Linked DNA regions of Alligator mississippiensis. The protein of the gene in region 1 purifies or fractionates together with the protein of each later gene. This does not show direct contact. Links are inferred from orthologs where the notes say so. Each region holds a gene or a part of one and is shown on either strand. Other genes may lie near its edges.

Region 1 (7,518 bases):
TCCCCCCACATACACAGCCTCACCTGAGCAGAGGGATGGTTTCAATGCAGCCTGCAGAAGATGGCTGCTGGCAGGCTGGGCTTGATCCATGGTCATAGTGGCCAAAAGCTGCATGGCCTGGGCATGGGATGGCTTTGTGTGGTCATGGGACAGCATGTGAAATGCTGGGGGGCAAGGGGGCTTGGCATGAGGGTGGCCATATTGGAGGGCATTGGGTTAGTCTTGCCATGAGCATAGGCATAGGGTGGCCTTAGCATGTGACATGCTGGGGGTCATGGGAGCATCTTGGTGTGATTGTGATCTGTTGGGGGGGGGTGCGCCTTAGTATGAGTGTGAACAGGAGACAGCCTTGGCGTGTGTGTGACATGTTGGGAGTCAGGGGACATTTTGGTCTGAGTGTGGATGTAGGGCCACCTTGGGGTGACTGTTACATGTTGGCAAACTCACAGGGGGCTCCATAGTGTCAGTGTAGACATGGCGCTGCCTTGGCACAAGTGTGATGTGCTGTCAGTTCTAGAGCTCCCTTAGTATGAGTGTGACATGTTGGGAGTCATGAGGCTGTTTTGGTGTGAGCACAGAAATGAGATGGGTGTGGCGTGACAGTGACGTGTAGAATTCCATGCACTGCTTTGGCATGAGTGTGGACATGAGACAACTGTAGCACAGGCATGAAATATTAGGAGTCACAGGGCCACCTTGGTGTAAGCAATGCTGTATCTAGGCTCCTGGTGGCCCTAGGCAAACTTTGAGTATCAGGTCCCCCTTTGCCAGAGATAATGATAATAATAATCAGACTTGTTGCAAAGGTCTTTATCACGTCTGTGGTATCGATGTCTTTAAATAGTTTGTTCTCAGTTGATAATATTGCCAATCCTGTATATGTGCATTAAAACTTTTTTTGCAATTGTAATTTTGTTTTAATTTTCAGGCCTCCTTTCTATCCGGGCCCTAGGTGGCCACCCGGTTCACCCATGCATGTGTCCAGGTCTGGATGTAAGCATGGATATGAGATGACTTCAAAGTGAGCATGATGTTTTGGGGTCCCAGTGCCACGGTGTGAGTGTGGTGTGTTGGGGGTCCTGGTATGAGCGGGGGGGAGGGAGGGCTGTGGCATGAGTGTGACATGGAGATCACAAGACTGCTTTGACATGATGTATTGAGGCTCCTGAGGCTCTCTTGGCATAAGCATAGACTGAAGCCCGTGGTGTGAGCGTGATGTGTTGGGGGTTCTGGGCCACCTTGGTGTGAGTATGAGTGTGGTGTGTTGTGGGTAGCCCCATGAACATGGACACAGGAGGGTGGTGGCATGACTGTGACATGTTAGGGCTCACAAGGCCAGCTTGGTTTGTGTGACATGTTGGGGGTCCCAGCATGAGTGTGGATCCAGGAGGGCTGTGGCATGAGCATAACACAGGAGTCCCAGGGCCACCTTGGCATGAGTGTGGACATATGACAGCCTTGGTGTGAGCATGGCATGTTGGGATCCTGTGGCTGCTTTGGTGTGAGCATGAACATGAGATGACCTTGGCATGAATGTGGGCATGAGCATAGTGTGTTCAGATCCTGGGGCTGCCTTGGTGTGAGCATGGACATGAGACAGCCTTCATAGATTTCATAGACATTAGGGCTGGAACGGACCTTGGAAGATCATCAAGTCCAACCCCCTGCCCCAGGGGCAGGAAGTCAGCTGGGGTCATAGGATCCCAGCAAGATAAGCATCCAAATTTCTCTTGAAGGTGTTCAATGTAGGTGCTTGAACTACCTCTGGCGGCAGTCTATTCCAGACCTTGGGGGCTTGGACAGTAAAGAAGTTCTTCCATATGTCCAGCCTGAAACGGTTATGGAGGAGTTTGTGATCATTTGACCTTGTCATCCTTTGGGGTGCTCTGGTGAACAGACTTTCCCCCAAATCCTGGTAAGCACCCCTGATGAACATATAGGTGGCCACCAGATCACCCCTGAGCCTGTGCTTTTCCAGGCTGAAGCCTCAGCCTGTCGTCGTAAGGTCTGTTTTCCTGACCTCTGATCATGCGCGTGGCTCTTCTCTGGACTCTCTCAAGCTTCTCCCCATCCTTTTTGAATTGTGGAGCGCAAAGCTGGATGCAGTACTCCAGCTGCGGCCTCACCAAGGTTGAGTATAATGGAAGAATGACGTCCTGGGATTTGCTTGAGAAGCATCTATGGGTGCAAGGCAGCATTTTGCTCACTTTACTAGCCACAGCATTGCACTGAAGGCTCATGTTCACCTTGTGGACAATCATGTCCCCCAAGTCCCTTTCATCCGTAGTGCTAGTCAGTGTAGCACTGCTGAGCCTATAAGCATGCTGCGGGTTTTTCCTCCCAAGGTGGAGAACCTTGCATTTTTCAGTGTTAAACATCATCAGGTTCTTGTCCGCCCATTTCATGAGCCTATCAAGGTCAGCCTGGATCGCCCTCCTGTCCTCAGGTGCGGGTGCTGTACCCCAGAGTTTGGTACCATCGGCGAACTTGGCCAGTCCACTTCTGACTCCAATGTCCACATCATTAATGAAGATGTTGAACAAAATAGCCCAGCACCTGACATTAACAGACTGGCTATGATGCTTGCCAGCTCCTTGAGTACCCTGAGATGTAGATTGTCAGGGCCAGCTGACTTGAAGGTGTCCAGCCTCTCAAGGTGTTCCTTCACAAGGTCAGCATTGATGGAGGGCAGGGAATCTCCCCCCACCTGGGCCTCCCTGTCCGGCTGTCAGTTAGGGTGGGCTCCCTCCGGAAAAAGGGGTTGGGGCGGGTGGAACATGTGTGGAGGCTGATTGGGTCTCACTGCCCATGCTGAATGGGCTGGCCTCCTGCCCATCACTGTAGGAGGGAGCGTGGGGGGAGCCCAAGGAGGGGTGGGGCGAAGCATGGTGCAGCTTGGGGCAGAGGGGTTTAAAAATCAATCACAGTTTGCAACAGTCCCAGCCGCCGCCCCGCCCAATACATCATACTCATGTTCACACCAAGGCTGTCTTGTGTGTGAGGGAATCTCCCTCACCTGAGTCTCCCTGTCCCGTAATGGGCAAGGGCGTCCCGTGGGACTGATGAAAGACCGATGCAAAGTACCCATTTAATAGGTTGGCTTTTTCCTGGGCATCAGTTGTCAGTTGTCCCATCTGGTTTAGCTGGGGTCTGATGTTGCCCATGGTTTTCCTCTGGCTCCCCACATATCTGAAAAAGGACTTTTTATTGTCCTTGATACTTGTAGCTAGCTGGAGTTTCGTCACAGCCTTGGCTTCCCTGGTTTGCTACCTGCAGGACCGGACCAGTGCAGAGTATTCCTCCTTGGAGGTGGATCCTGTCCTCCATCCTTTGTAGGCCTTTTTTTTTAGCCAGAGGAGGTCTGCTAGTTCCCTGGAGAGCCAAGGGGGCTGCTGTGCCCTTTTGTTGCCTTTCCTCTGAGACAGAGCCTTAGCTTGTGCATTGAGGACCATTCCCTTGAAGAACAGCCACTCTTCCTGAACTCCCCTCCCCTTGGGGTCGTGGTCCCTTAGGGCCTCACTGACAAGCCTCCTGAGCTTGTCAAAGTCAGCTTTCCTAAAGTCAGGGACTTCTGTATTGCTGACTGACTTGCCAGTTTTATGGCGGATGGTGAAGGTGATCAGCCTTGGTGTGACTGTCAGCATGAGCATGGTGTGTTGGGGTTCGAGCTGGCGTGAGCGTGGACACGAGGCAGCTTTGGTGAGCGTGGCATGTTGGGGTCCTAGGGCTGCCTTGGCATGGGTGTGGACACAAGATGGCATTGGTGTGAATGTGAGCATGGTGTTTTGGGATCCCAGAGCCACCTTGGTGTGAGTGTGGGCATAAGATAGCCTTGATGTGAACATGTGTGGCATGTTGGGGTCCCAGAGCTGCTTTGGCATGAGCGTGGACACAAGACAGACTTGGTGTAAGCATGAGTGTGTGTGGTGTGTTCGGGTCCCGGGGCCACTTTAGCAGGAGTGTGGACATGGGATAACCTTGGTGTGAGCATCAGCATAGTGAGTTGGGTTCCTGAAGCTGCCTTGGTGTGAGCATAGTGTGCTGGGGTCCCAGAGCTCCCTTGACATAAGCGTGGTGACAGCTTTGGTGTGAACATGAGTATGACGTATTGGGCGGGGCAGCGGTTGGGACCGTTGCAAACTGCCGTTGAATTTCAAACCCCTCCGCCCCGCGCCGCGCCATGCCGCGCCCCACCCCTCCTTGGGCTCCCCCCACGCTCCCTCCTACAGTGACTGGCAGGAGGCCGGCCCATTCAGCGGCAGCAGCGAGACCCAATCAGCCGCCGCGCGCGCTCCATCCACCCCACCCACTTTTTCCGGAGGGGGCCCGCCCTAACTGACAGCGCTTCCCGCCAATTCCAACTGCCGCGCGGGGGAGCGCGGGGGGGGGACCCGCCCCGCGGCCCGCCCGCGGGAGCCAATGGATGTGCGGTGGCTGCGTGACGGGCAGTGCCCACGGCCAATCAGAGTGCGGCAAAGGAGGGGATCGGGGAGGGGGTGGGGCCTGCCTGCTCCGGGCTTCCTCTCCGGCTCGGTTTGGCCCCCCCCACCCCGGCTTGGCCCCCCCCCTCCCCCCCTCCCCTCCCCCCCCGCGGGTTTCTTCGCTGCGAAGAAAATGGCGGCGGCGCCGAGCGGCGACGAGGAGCGGCTGTGAGTGCCCCGCGCGCGGCCGGACCCCCGTCCCTCCCCCCTTCTGTGTCGGGGGGGCGGGGGGCGGCGACGACGCGCGAGGCGGTGGGGAGGGGAGGGATGGGGAGGGGAGGGGGGCGTGAGAGGGGGGCGTGCGTGAGTCCCCCCCGTTTGCGCGACCGTGGTGCGTCACAGCGGCCCCGGGAGGGGGGAGGGGCCGCCCGGGGGGGGGCGGGGCCGGGCGAGGTCACAGGTCGCGAACTCCCCCCCCCCCCCCGACATGGGTCACACTAAGGCCCGGGGTGTATGTCATGCCAAGGTTCTGGGCGTAGGACCCATCAAGTGCCGTCACACTCAAACCCCAGGCATGGGTCATGCCAGGCCCTGGTCACACCAGGCCCCTGGGCACTGGTCATGCTAAGTTCCAAGTGTTGGTCGCACTCCCCCGCCCCCCCCTGCCAGTCATGCCGAGCCTCTGGTCACACCAAGACCCTTGGTGCAGGATACACCAAGCCTATGTCATGCAAAGTCTCCAGGTATGCGTCACATCAAGCCCCTGGTCATGCCCAGCTCCCAGTCGTGGGTTGCACCAAGCCCTTGGCCATGGGTCACACCAGACCTTTGGCCATGCCAAGCCCCTAGGTGCTAGTCACACTAAGCTCCTGTGTGCTGGGCACATGAAGCTCCTGGACACGGGGTGCACCAAACCCCTGTGTGCGCCATGTGGGTCACGTCAAGCCCTGGTAACACCAACCTCCCTGCACCACCTCAGCCCAGTCACGCCAAGCCTAGGCGCACCAGCCCTTTGGCATTGCCTGGGTCCAGTCACGTCAATCCCCCCTGTGCCACTCTGGCCCCATCATGCTAACTCCAGTGTCCCAGCCCTGTCACGCGATCCCCACTGCACTGTCCCATCCCCCTCATTCCAGTCCTATGGTGTTTTGTCTGGGCTCACTCGCACCTAGTGCTTTGTACTGTCCACACCCTCTTCATTGGCACACCTGCCCTCCCAGTACTGCACGTGTGCTCCTACTAAGTCTTGCCGCAGCATCCACCCTGCCTTGAGCCATATCAGCAAGGTTGCACATGGGCCACGCCCATGCCAGCACCCGCGTCCAATGCATCCCATGCCCACGCTGCCCAGAACCCTCCGTTTCCATGCATGCTGTCCAGTCTTATCAGGCGTTGCCCCGGCCAGCATCACCCTTCCCAGTCAGCGTCTTCCCAGCCCTCACATGGTTGCTGCCCTCCACATGTGACACCCCCAGTAACCTTAGTGGCTACATGGCTGGGCCAAGCAGTGCAGGCTTATGCCACCTGGCCTGGTCCATGCCTGCTGGACCCGCCTCATGCCAGTTCCCGGCTCTGAGCCTGCCAGGGCCGTGCAACATGCTACTGTCATGCCCGCTTTTGTGACACACATGGACTTTTGCGCCCACCTGTCCAGGGGGTCTCCCAGCTCTGGCCTGTCAACATGACTCATGTGGTTATGGGTTTTCCTGCCTGCTCCTCTGAGAGTGTGAGAACTTATCCACTGCGGGTAGGGCTGGAGTGGGTCTGTTGCACACGGGTTAGCTGGGCAAGGCACTTTGCCTGCCACAGATATTGCCACCCTGAGCTAGGACAGATGGACATGCAAGGAGGAACTATCCTGTCCGTCCTAGTGTAGAAGCTGTAGCCTGGGCAGCTCCACACTCCCAGGCAGACTGACTCCAACAGGGGAAGCTGGGAGCCTGTGGTCCTGATACCAGTGTCAGGCTTGGCATGAAGGCACCACAGGGCTGGGTGGGCAGCTGGACATAGCTCTGAGCAGGCCCTGCTGGCGGCAGGGTGGGGTCGTGCCAGTTGCCCATTCCCAATGCATAGCCAGGATGTGGTCACAGTCCGAGCTTCCCATGCCAGGCAGCCTAGGGGCCAGAGCATGTCCTCTGTGTCCTTGCCGGCAACAGTGAGGGGTGCCAAGTATGCTTGCTTCAAGCCAGGCATGGGCTGGGGGCTTCTTTCTCTTGCTTGCAGGCACCAGGAAGGCAGTGTTGCCTCTCAGTGGGACCTGGGCTGCTGGCACAGCAGGGGGCACCACATAGGGCAGAGGGCACAGCAAGGGGCACTAGTGGTGGTCAAGAAGCCTGGTGCCACTCAAGCCAGGGGTTCTGGTTCCCACAGTCCTTCAGCCCATGGCCTAGAGCATCTGTTACTTCCCGTGTTCAGACTTACAGAGCCTGGCTGTCCACACATGTTTGACCCGCTATGACTGGTGTCTGGAGGCCTGTCCACAGGGGCAGGAGCCCGGCCCTTACCCAGCTAGGCATGGAGCACAGGGAGGGGCTAGAGCTGCAGCAGATGGAAACAGACTGAGGCCCGCTGCTTTCACACCCACCCAATTCCTGTCTCCCTGGCTCAGTGCTGTGGGGCAGCCCTGGCTCAGTGGGTTGGGCCAGTGCCTGGGTTCAGGCATTTGTTACCAGGCTTCTTGGCAGAGAGAGTGGGACTGGGACTGGGGCCCTCACATGGGCGCAGTGCTTTCCATAGCCCCATCATGCCGGGCACAGCACAGCCTGCAGCCCTGTCATGCCAGACATAGCCATGTTGATAGCCCCTTCATGCCAGGCACAGCACAGCCTGCAGCCTAGCCAACACCAGCTCTATAGCACCGGGCACAGCACTGCCCATGGCCCCTGGGTGAAACCAGCCCTGTAGTGATGGGCACAACACTGCCCACAGCCTGGCCAAGGACCAGCCCTGCCAGTGTTCAATACAGTGCCACTGGCAGCCCCATCATGCCAGGCTCAGCACAGCCTGCAGTCCAGCTGAGACCAGCCCTGTCATGACAGGCACAGCACCATACACTGCCCCAGCCAGGACCAGCCCCATCACACCAGGCACAGTGCAG
Region 2 (7,510 bases), on another chromosome or scaffold:
ATTTGAGGTTCTGCCAAGTTTCAGAAGAGCAAAATGTTTCATGCTGCTCATAAGAGGCAAGTAAACCTAGACGCCTGAGAAGCAATTGTTGCACTTCCTAATTCAGGGCAGGTTTGAGACTCAGTGCCTGAGCTGAGTGCCATGGAGCTGAAACCCTTCAAATGAGGGCGGCAAAGCCCACTGAAGGGCCCAGTTATTGCCACGTGACATCACCTGTTCTTAATGCAGCCAGTATCATTGTGCTGACCTACCATTAGGTCGGGTTAGATACCGTTGTGATCCAGTCTGCCCTGGGTATAGTAAGACCTGAATCGTTGCATCTGGGGACTTTGCAACCTGCTGAATGTCAGACAAGCTGCTCGGCTGGGTTTTTTTACTTCTAAGGGCACTGCTTCTCCAACTAGCTGGCTCTCCACTGTGCTCCCAGGTAGCTGACTGGAGAAGCAGTAGCCTTGGAATAAAAGCTGCAGCACCTGGGAGGTTCCTTGCACCTGTTTGGGGCAGCTCTGTCTACCCCCGCATGCTGCACAGACCCTCATCTTCACAGGGGCCTGCAAAGTATCTGGATGGTCCTCTATTGCTACACAGCAGCGCTGTGTGTAAGTAGGCTTTGGGTTACTAGCGCAGTTTCTTTTTCTTACCCTCAGCTTTTTGTTCTGTGAGCTCAGATAACGTGGCACTGACTTGTGTGCATTCTGCTTGCTGCGCCTGTTCCTGTAACTGCTCTTGTTCCTTGTCCACTCCAGGTCTGGTCACTGTTCCCACATCACGCGTCCCTGCAGCTGCCTCAGCCTGATCCTGCAGGTTACAGCTGTGCTGTTGCCACTTCACACCAGGAGTTTCAGATATTCCAGGTCTACAACTTTTTCTTAAAAAAGAGAGAGAGAAAAACCCCCCAAGTCCCAGATGTAAATAAAGCCTTTTGATAAATGTGTGCGCAGTGTGTTCAGTTAGAATAGTCAGGGTTGAGCTTTCCTGTCCTGAAGGCCACATAATCAGTCCAAACCAACCTTTGTAGCCAGAGGCTTCCTAAGGCAAGTTCTTCTTGCGCAGGTGAGCGCCTCACTGGTACAGGAGCTCCTGCACCAGCTGCCCCCTGCCTCCAGCTTACTTGGGAGGGATGTGGTGTGGGCCGAGTTGGAAAGGAGATGGCAGAGCTGCCTCGTGCTGCACCTTCGCTGGCTGCTATAAGCTGTTGGAGTGCCATGCAGTCTGACATGGGTCCGCTAGCCCTGCAATAAGGAGCCAAGCTCAGTTCTTCCTGAGCAGAATCAAAGCCATGCCGTGCAGGCTGTGCTGGCTGGGGTCCAGGGAATTGCCAGGGCCATTTTGAGGCACTTGTTTCACTCTTGCCACTCCCTGCGTTTAGATGACTAGGGAAGAGATGAGGTGAGGCGTAAAGATTTCATGAGCATGAGTTTGCTGTGACCGTGTGTGAGCACTGAAAAGGAAGGGCTGAGGTCATGCAAGTCATTTGAAAGATGTAAAAGTGTTAACGGCATGTATCTCTGCCTTGTGCGTTCTGTGCGTGCCACGTGTTGCAGAAACAATACAAATAGGCTGGAGGCAAGACTTGGAAAAATACCAGGCTCCCACAGGCTTGTCAGGTACCCAGCAGCTGTCACTGCGAGGAAAGGGGTCCTTGTTCTTTGGACCAGTGGGGCAAAAAAACAGACTTGTTTTAAGATGGAGTTTGATATAACTTGATGAACCAGGTTGTATGATGTGGGTCGCTGCAACAGCAGGGGCCTGGCCTGGATGCACCTTCCTCACCTAGAGGCTTTGTATTAATAAATATTTGTGACACTAGAGAACAGGAGGAGGGAAAAGAGAAATGAACTCTGTCGCACTGCCTAGAGGCGCTCTCGGCACGGAAGAGTCGGTAGAAAGCCAGACCCTTAGAGACCCATTCAGAAAACTAGCTCCTGAGCCCAAAATGAACAGAGAGAGCATTTCGGGGCTCTTTGGACATCAGCCCTTCATCAGGGCCAGTGGTGTGAGAAGTCGTATTATGTTACTTGTCACACCCATTATTTCTAGCAGAAAATGATTTTAACAGCTGCCCCCTATGACTGCACATTTGCCTCCACGCTCTGCCTTCCTGGTGGCCAGCACGCTGGGAGCTCTTGCCCTAGGGCTCTGCTCCATCCCCTCAGCCGCTGTACAGGAGGATAGTGGCAGAGGCCTCCTCCCGGCATCTCATAAAGGAGGGGCGTGTGTAGCGGGACCCCTGGCCCCTGCTAGAGGGCAGGTGGGGTGCAGCTTGCAGGAGGGGCTGTGAGCAGCTAACATGGGAGTGTAGAGCCTGTGTGGCTGCAGCAGAGTCGAGGGCTGCTGGGCCCAGTCTGCAGACTGGGATGACTGGTAGCACTTGGCCTTGTGACCAGAGAGCCCAGTCAGGTGACTGGAAGGTGGGGAGGGGGCAAAAGGAGGTAACATGCCCGAGTGTGGGGCTGGGGGCACAGCCTGGCCCAGATCCCCACGGAGCAGGAGCCCTGCAGGTTGCAGCATGCAGAGATAAGTGATTAATTTTGTTTCCGCTCTGGGTTTGTGGCACCCGGAGGCTTGGGAGTGGCGACAGGAGTGGGAGGAAGTCACGGAGGGTGCTGGGGATAAAGGTCAGGCTGACAGACGGATGGTTACCTGGGTTATCGTGTTTACCCGGTGGCGCGTGCCCCTGCCCTCCCCCCCGCCTGTTTTTGTGGGGCAGCATCGCGGGGAGCTCATATCTGCAAAAGTGTAGCACCTCTCAAAACTCTAGTACGGTGGATGTGCCTGTCGGCCGGGCCCCGAGCGCACACGCGCCGGCCGGGCCAGTCTGATTTTCTGATGGCGAGCCACAACCCTCGACGCCGGAGCTGTCAGATGTGGTCAGCGTGGCCCCCGAGCTGGGGGAATCAACGCTGCTAACCTGCCCCCCGGGACTGGCGTGCTGCATCTGCAGGTCAGCGGTAGCACGAGCCTTGGGGTTCGGCGTCCGGGCTCCGCTCCTGGCTAGAAGCGCGACTAGGCGCAGAGCGGCGGTTACGAGCTACAGCCCTGGAGCGGCCTGGGCCGCTTACAAGAAAAGGCCGAGCAGGTGGTGTCTGTGCGACCCGGGCTGGTACCAGCCCCAGCAGCGACGGGGGTCCGATGCGCAGGTCGCGCTGTGAGCTCCTGCCTCGCCGCGGGCGCGTTACCGCGCAGGACCAGGGGCCTTGCAGGCCCCGCGCCAGTGCCGGCGCCTCTGCAGGGAAGAGTGGTGTCGCCCGCCATCTCCCTGACCCGCTTCGGCCTGGAACGTTTTTGACCGGGGGAAGTAATCCTGGTCCGTGAAGAAACGCTCCTCCGCGGGATCGCAACCACCATCGGGAACCACGTGGGGCCCGTCCGCCTGCGCTGCCCCGCGGGAGGGCACTCCCCACCCCGCGCAGCCCAGGCAGCGGTCAGTCGTGGGGGCAAGACCGCCCCGGGCAGCTCCGCCGCCCCCGGCTGTGCGTGCGCCTCCTGCTCCCGGCCGGGCCTTCGCGCCGACCGCTTCGGCTGCACGGACGGCCCAGGCGGCCCTCGCTGGAGGGCGGGCGGGCAGCGCCTCCCGGACGCCTTCCGTGCGGGTGCGCAGGTGGAGGCGCGGCGCGGGCGGCGGGGAGCGCGCGGGGCTGCGCACGCCAATCCCCCGCGGGCGGGGCCTGCCAGCCCGCTTCACGCGCGTCCTCGCCGGCCTGTCACTCGAGCGGTAGCGGCGCGCAGCGCAGGGGCGGCGCACCGCACGGGCGGGCGGCCACGCCGCCATCGTGCTGCCCGGCTGCGCCGCCCCCGCCTACACCGGCCCCGCGCTGCCGCGCTCCCGGGGGCGGCCGTCCGTCCGTCCGTCCGGCGGCCGCGGCGCACCGCACCGCTCAGCGACCGAGACTTCCTCCTGCGAGCCTCGGCCCCGCGCCCCGCCGCCGCCTCGGGGGGAAGCAGTGCCGCGGGGAAGCGCTGGCGGCGCGGCAGCCCGCTGCACCCCGGCTGCCGGCCTGCTCCCGCCACGCGCGGCCCCGCGGCGCTGCCCGCCCGCCTGCCGGCAGCCTCCGCGTGCCCGCTCTGCGCGGCCGCTCCGCGGGGCGGGGCGAGACCCCGAGGGCATGTCCGCGTCCTGTCCTCCGGCGGGGCCGCAGCCAATCAGGCTGCAGGGGGGCGGGGAAACCAGCCCGGGAGCAAAAAAAAAAAAAAAAAAAAAAAAAAGGGGGGGGAGAAAAAACACCCCCTGCGGGCCGGAACGAGCCGCGTAGCCAATTGGCGCGCGCGGCCTGTGACAGCCAAGCCCTGCCGCCAATCGGCTTGCATACGGGCTGGACGGCCCCCTGAAGGGCAAGCGGGCCGGCCAGCGAGCGCGCGGGGCGGTGGCGGAGCGCAGCCAACGGGCGCGCGTGGCGCCTGACAGGCGGCGGCGGCAGCCAATGGGGCCGCGCGCGGGCGGGGCGCGGCGGGTGGCTAGCCGGCGCGGGCCGCCATTGTGGCCAGTTCGATCGGGATCGGGAGCGGAGAGCGGAGCCCAGCGAGCCCGGAGCAGGGAGCAGCCCCCGGCCGGCCTCAGTCACCATCAGACCCCGCGGAGCGGCGCAGCCAGTCACCACCACCGTCCGCACCCCGCCGCCGCCGCCATGAGCAGCGAGGCCGAGCCGCAGCCGCCCGCCGCCCCCCTCCCCGCCGCGGCGCCCGCCGCCCCCGCCGACTCCAAGCCGGGCGGCGGCTCCGGCAACGGGGGCGGCGGCCTGGCCTCGGCGGCGCCTCCCGCCGGCGGGGACAAGAAGGTCATCGGTGAGCGCGGGGCCGCGCGGAGGGGCGGGGGGCGGGCGCGGGCGGCCGTTGGCGCGGAGCCGTTGGGCCCCGCGTGGCGCGGGGGGGGCGGGGCGGGGCGGGGCGGCGCCTCAGCCTCAAAATGTCCGCCACGCGCGGCCTTTGTGTGCGGCCGCCACGTGCCCGGCCCCACCGCCACCGCCGCCTCCGCCTCCTCTCTTGCAGCAACGAAGGTTTTGGGAACAGTGAAATGGTTCAACGTGCGGAACGGCTACGGCTTCATCAACAGGTGAGCCTGCCCCCCCACCCCTCGGGCGCTGTCACCGGCAGCCGGGCCGGGCTCGGAGCCCCCGCGTTACACCCGCCGCACGGCCCGGCACGGCCCTGGGGGAAGGGAAGGCGAAGGCGCGCGGGGGTTTTGTTACCGACTCGCGATGCCGTCGGCGCCGAGAGGCGGCGCCGCGCGTTTTTCCGGAGTTGAGCTCGGGCCCCTGCAGCGCCGGTTACGAAGGACTGACGTCCAGCGGGAATTTAAGCCTGAGAGCGCGCTGCCCGCGGGAGCCCTTTTGGAGCAGCGTCAAGAAGCCGAGGGCCACGTTGGTGTCGGTCGCGATACCAAGGGGGTTTCTGAAGCTTTCCTCGCTTTTGAGGCTGTTCTACACTTTCTGCAGTACGGAGGGGAGCTGTGACAGGCTGGCGAGGGCCGTCCGGCAGGGCCGTGGCGAGGTGCTGAAGTCATCGTGCGTTAATAAAACGCAGCTTGGTAGCAGAGTCCTGCCGCTGCCGCCCGGGCTGTCACTGGGCGGGCGGGCGGGCGGGCGTCCGCGCCGAGCGGGTGACGGGCTCCGCGTGGCTGGGGCCTGGCCAGCGGTGTCCGACTCGCTCAGCACACCAACGAGCTGTAGCTGGGGGCAGCCGCGTGTCTCGCTGTACGGGCAAGCTCGCTGGAATTTAATTACTTCCTGCCCAGCTGCCCGGGAGCTTTTAACAAGTTGCTGTCTTGCCCTTTCCTCCCTAACTTGGTAAGATCTTGAGGTTACACAGATGAGCGTTAGGAAAATGTAAATTACTTGAATCCTGAGGTTTATGACACAAGTGAAAGAGAGGTATTTAATTACAGCTGAGGTGTGGCTTTTAATTCCTGCCATGTCTGCCTCTGTATAATGCGGAGGTGACATGACACTGAAGGCCTGCTTTTTCCAGAAGAGGCTGGGTAGGGTCTGATGTTTTATTATTTGACAAATTGACTGTACTATTCAACTTCATGATCCCAACTTTTTAATTGGATTGTCACATTTTGAAACTTAAGTGCCTTGCTTTTCTATAGAGTTGGATTTCCTGTGTGGTTGCCAACTTCTGTAGTTGGACGTTGAATAATAGCTTGTTGTTTGGTGCTAAAGTTGTAAGTTCTGGCAATTCTGCTTTTGGTAAATTTGCGTAAAACGGTACTTTGCCAGTTCTGTAGGGAACGCCGAACTACACACTTGAAGAAAAGAAACAATGCAAGAAAATGACAGCTGATAGTTAAAAGGCATCTGAATGTTTCAGAGCATGCATTGGGCTTAATCCCCTGGGTTGTCATTTTAATGAGAAGCCCAGCACGATCTCGTGTTAACAGGACTGCGCGAGAAGAGCTGCAGCCTGAGAAAAGGAGCTAAAGGGCATGTCCACAGTTCTGAGCTCTGGCTAGTTAACTGTAGGGGAAAAAAAATCCCTTAAAAAAAGGTGTGGGGCGCTTTACTGCTCTTGCATCTAACTATATCTTTCTGTGAATATATTTGCAATTCAGATCCATCCTTTTTGATGGAAACATCTGCTGGCTTAAAGACAACATTGCTGCTTTCTTTCTAATTATTTTGTGTTTTTAAAGTGTATTTTCACTCTGAATGTTGGCCTGAGTCCTAAAAAAAACAAACCTGTTGTTGTTTTTTCTAGCAGTTATCATAAATAGTAAGTGGTTCAGAAGGGCATTGATACAGCCCTGTTACTTATCTGCAATTGCAGCTCAAGTGTTTAGCGGTCTGTTAATGCCACTTCATAACAAGTCCTCTGGAGCTTTGTCTTAATCAGCAGATCTGCTCTGCATGAAGTCGGACCATAGTCCTTGTTCAGCCAGTCCCTCTTCAAGCTTTGCATTATGAAGAAGTTGAAAAGATTTGTAGTTCAACAAGATAAGCAGAAGGCAGGAGGAAGCTGAGCACTCAGCCACTTTGCATTATGAGGTGTTTCAAATGACACCAGCCAGCTACAAACCCAGATTTGTTAAAAGGGAGTGAATTTGTGGATCTCATAGTTGGAAAACATAATTTGAAGCAATGAGTTTGGGACTTAAGAAAGTCATCTACAAGTTACTAATTTATCCAGAAAGAGTACATTGATTTGTAAAGGCTTTTTTTAGAAGTAAATCTTATTGTCCGCTGTCAGACAGGATCCTGGATTTGATGGACCACTGATCTGATTAAGTTTGGCTAGAGTAGAAGTGTAATTAAAGCTTTTTAATGGTCCTTTATCATTTATAGGCTCTTATCTCGCACATGCTTAGGATTGTGTTTGTGTTCTAGTTGGTTGCTTTGAGGCCATTACAGGTTTTCCTTGAAGATGACTGGAAGTTTTGGATCATCTTAAGCCTACTAGGCATCTGGTATCTATTGTAAATCCCCTTGTTGGCATTAAATGAAGTTGAAAGGTGGACATGGATGGCTTGAGACATCTGATGTGTGGAGAGCTACGTATGGAAAATATTAGCGAC

What was found.
Region 2: the proteins of MECP2 (region 1) and YBX1 purify together in Homo sapiens (affinity purification with western blotting; 3 studies listed by BioGRID, with this or other methods). This does not show direct contact. The link is inferred for Alligator mississippiensis from reciprocal best matches to the Homo sapiens genes MECP2 and YBX1.

What each region holds. Positions count from the first base shown.
Region 1 is NC_081831.1:28,770,338-28,777,855, forward strand, and holds the start of MECP2 (methyl-CpG-binding protein 2), read left to right. Parts: upstream 1-4,503; 5' UTR 4,504-4,614; coding exon 4,615-4,649; intron 4,650-7,518. UniProt on the Homo sapiens protein: Chromosomal protein that binds to methylated DNA. It can bind specifically to a single methyl-CpG pair. It is not influenced by sequences flanking the methyl-CpGs.
Region 2 is NC_081836.1:1,388,993-1,396,502, forward strand, and holds the start of YBX1 (Y-box-binding protein 1), read left to right. Parts: upstream 1-4,489; 5' UTR 4,490-4,625; coding exon 4,626-4,782; intron 4,783-4,986; coding exon 4,987-5,050; intron 5,051-7,510. UniProt on the Homo sapiens protein: DNA- and RNA-binding protein involved in various processes, such as translational repression, RNA stabilization, mRNA splicing, DNA repair and transcription regulation.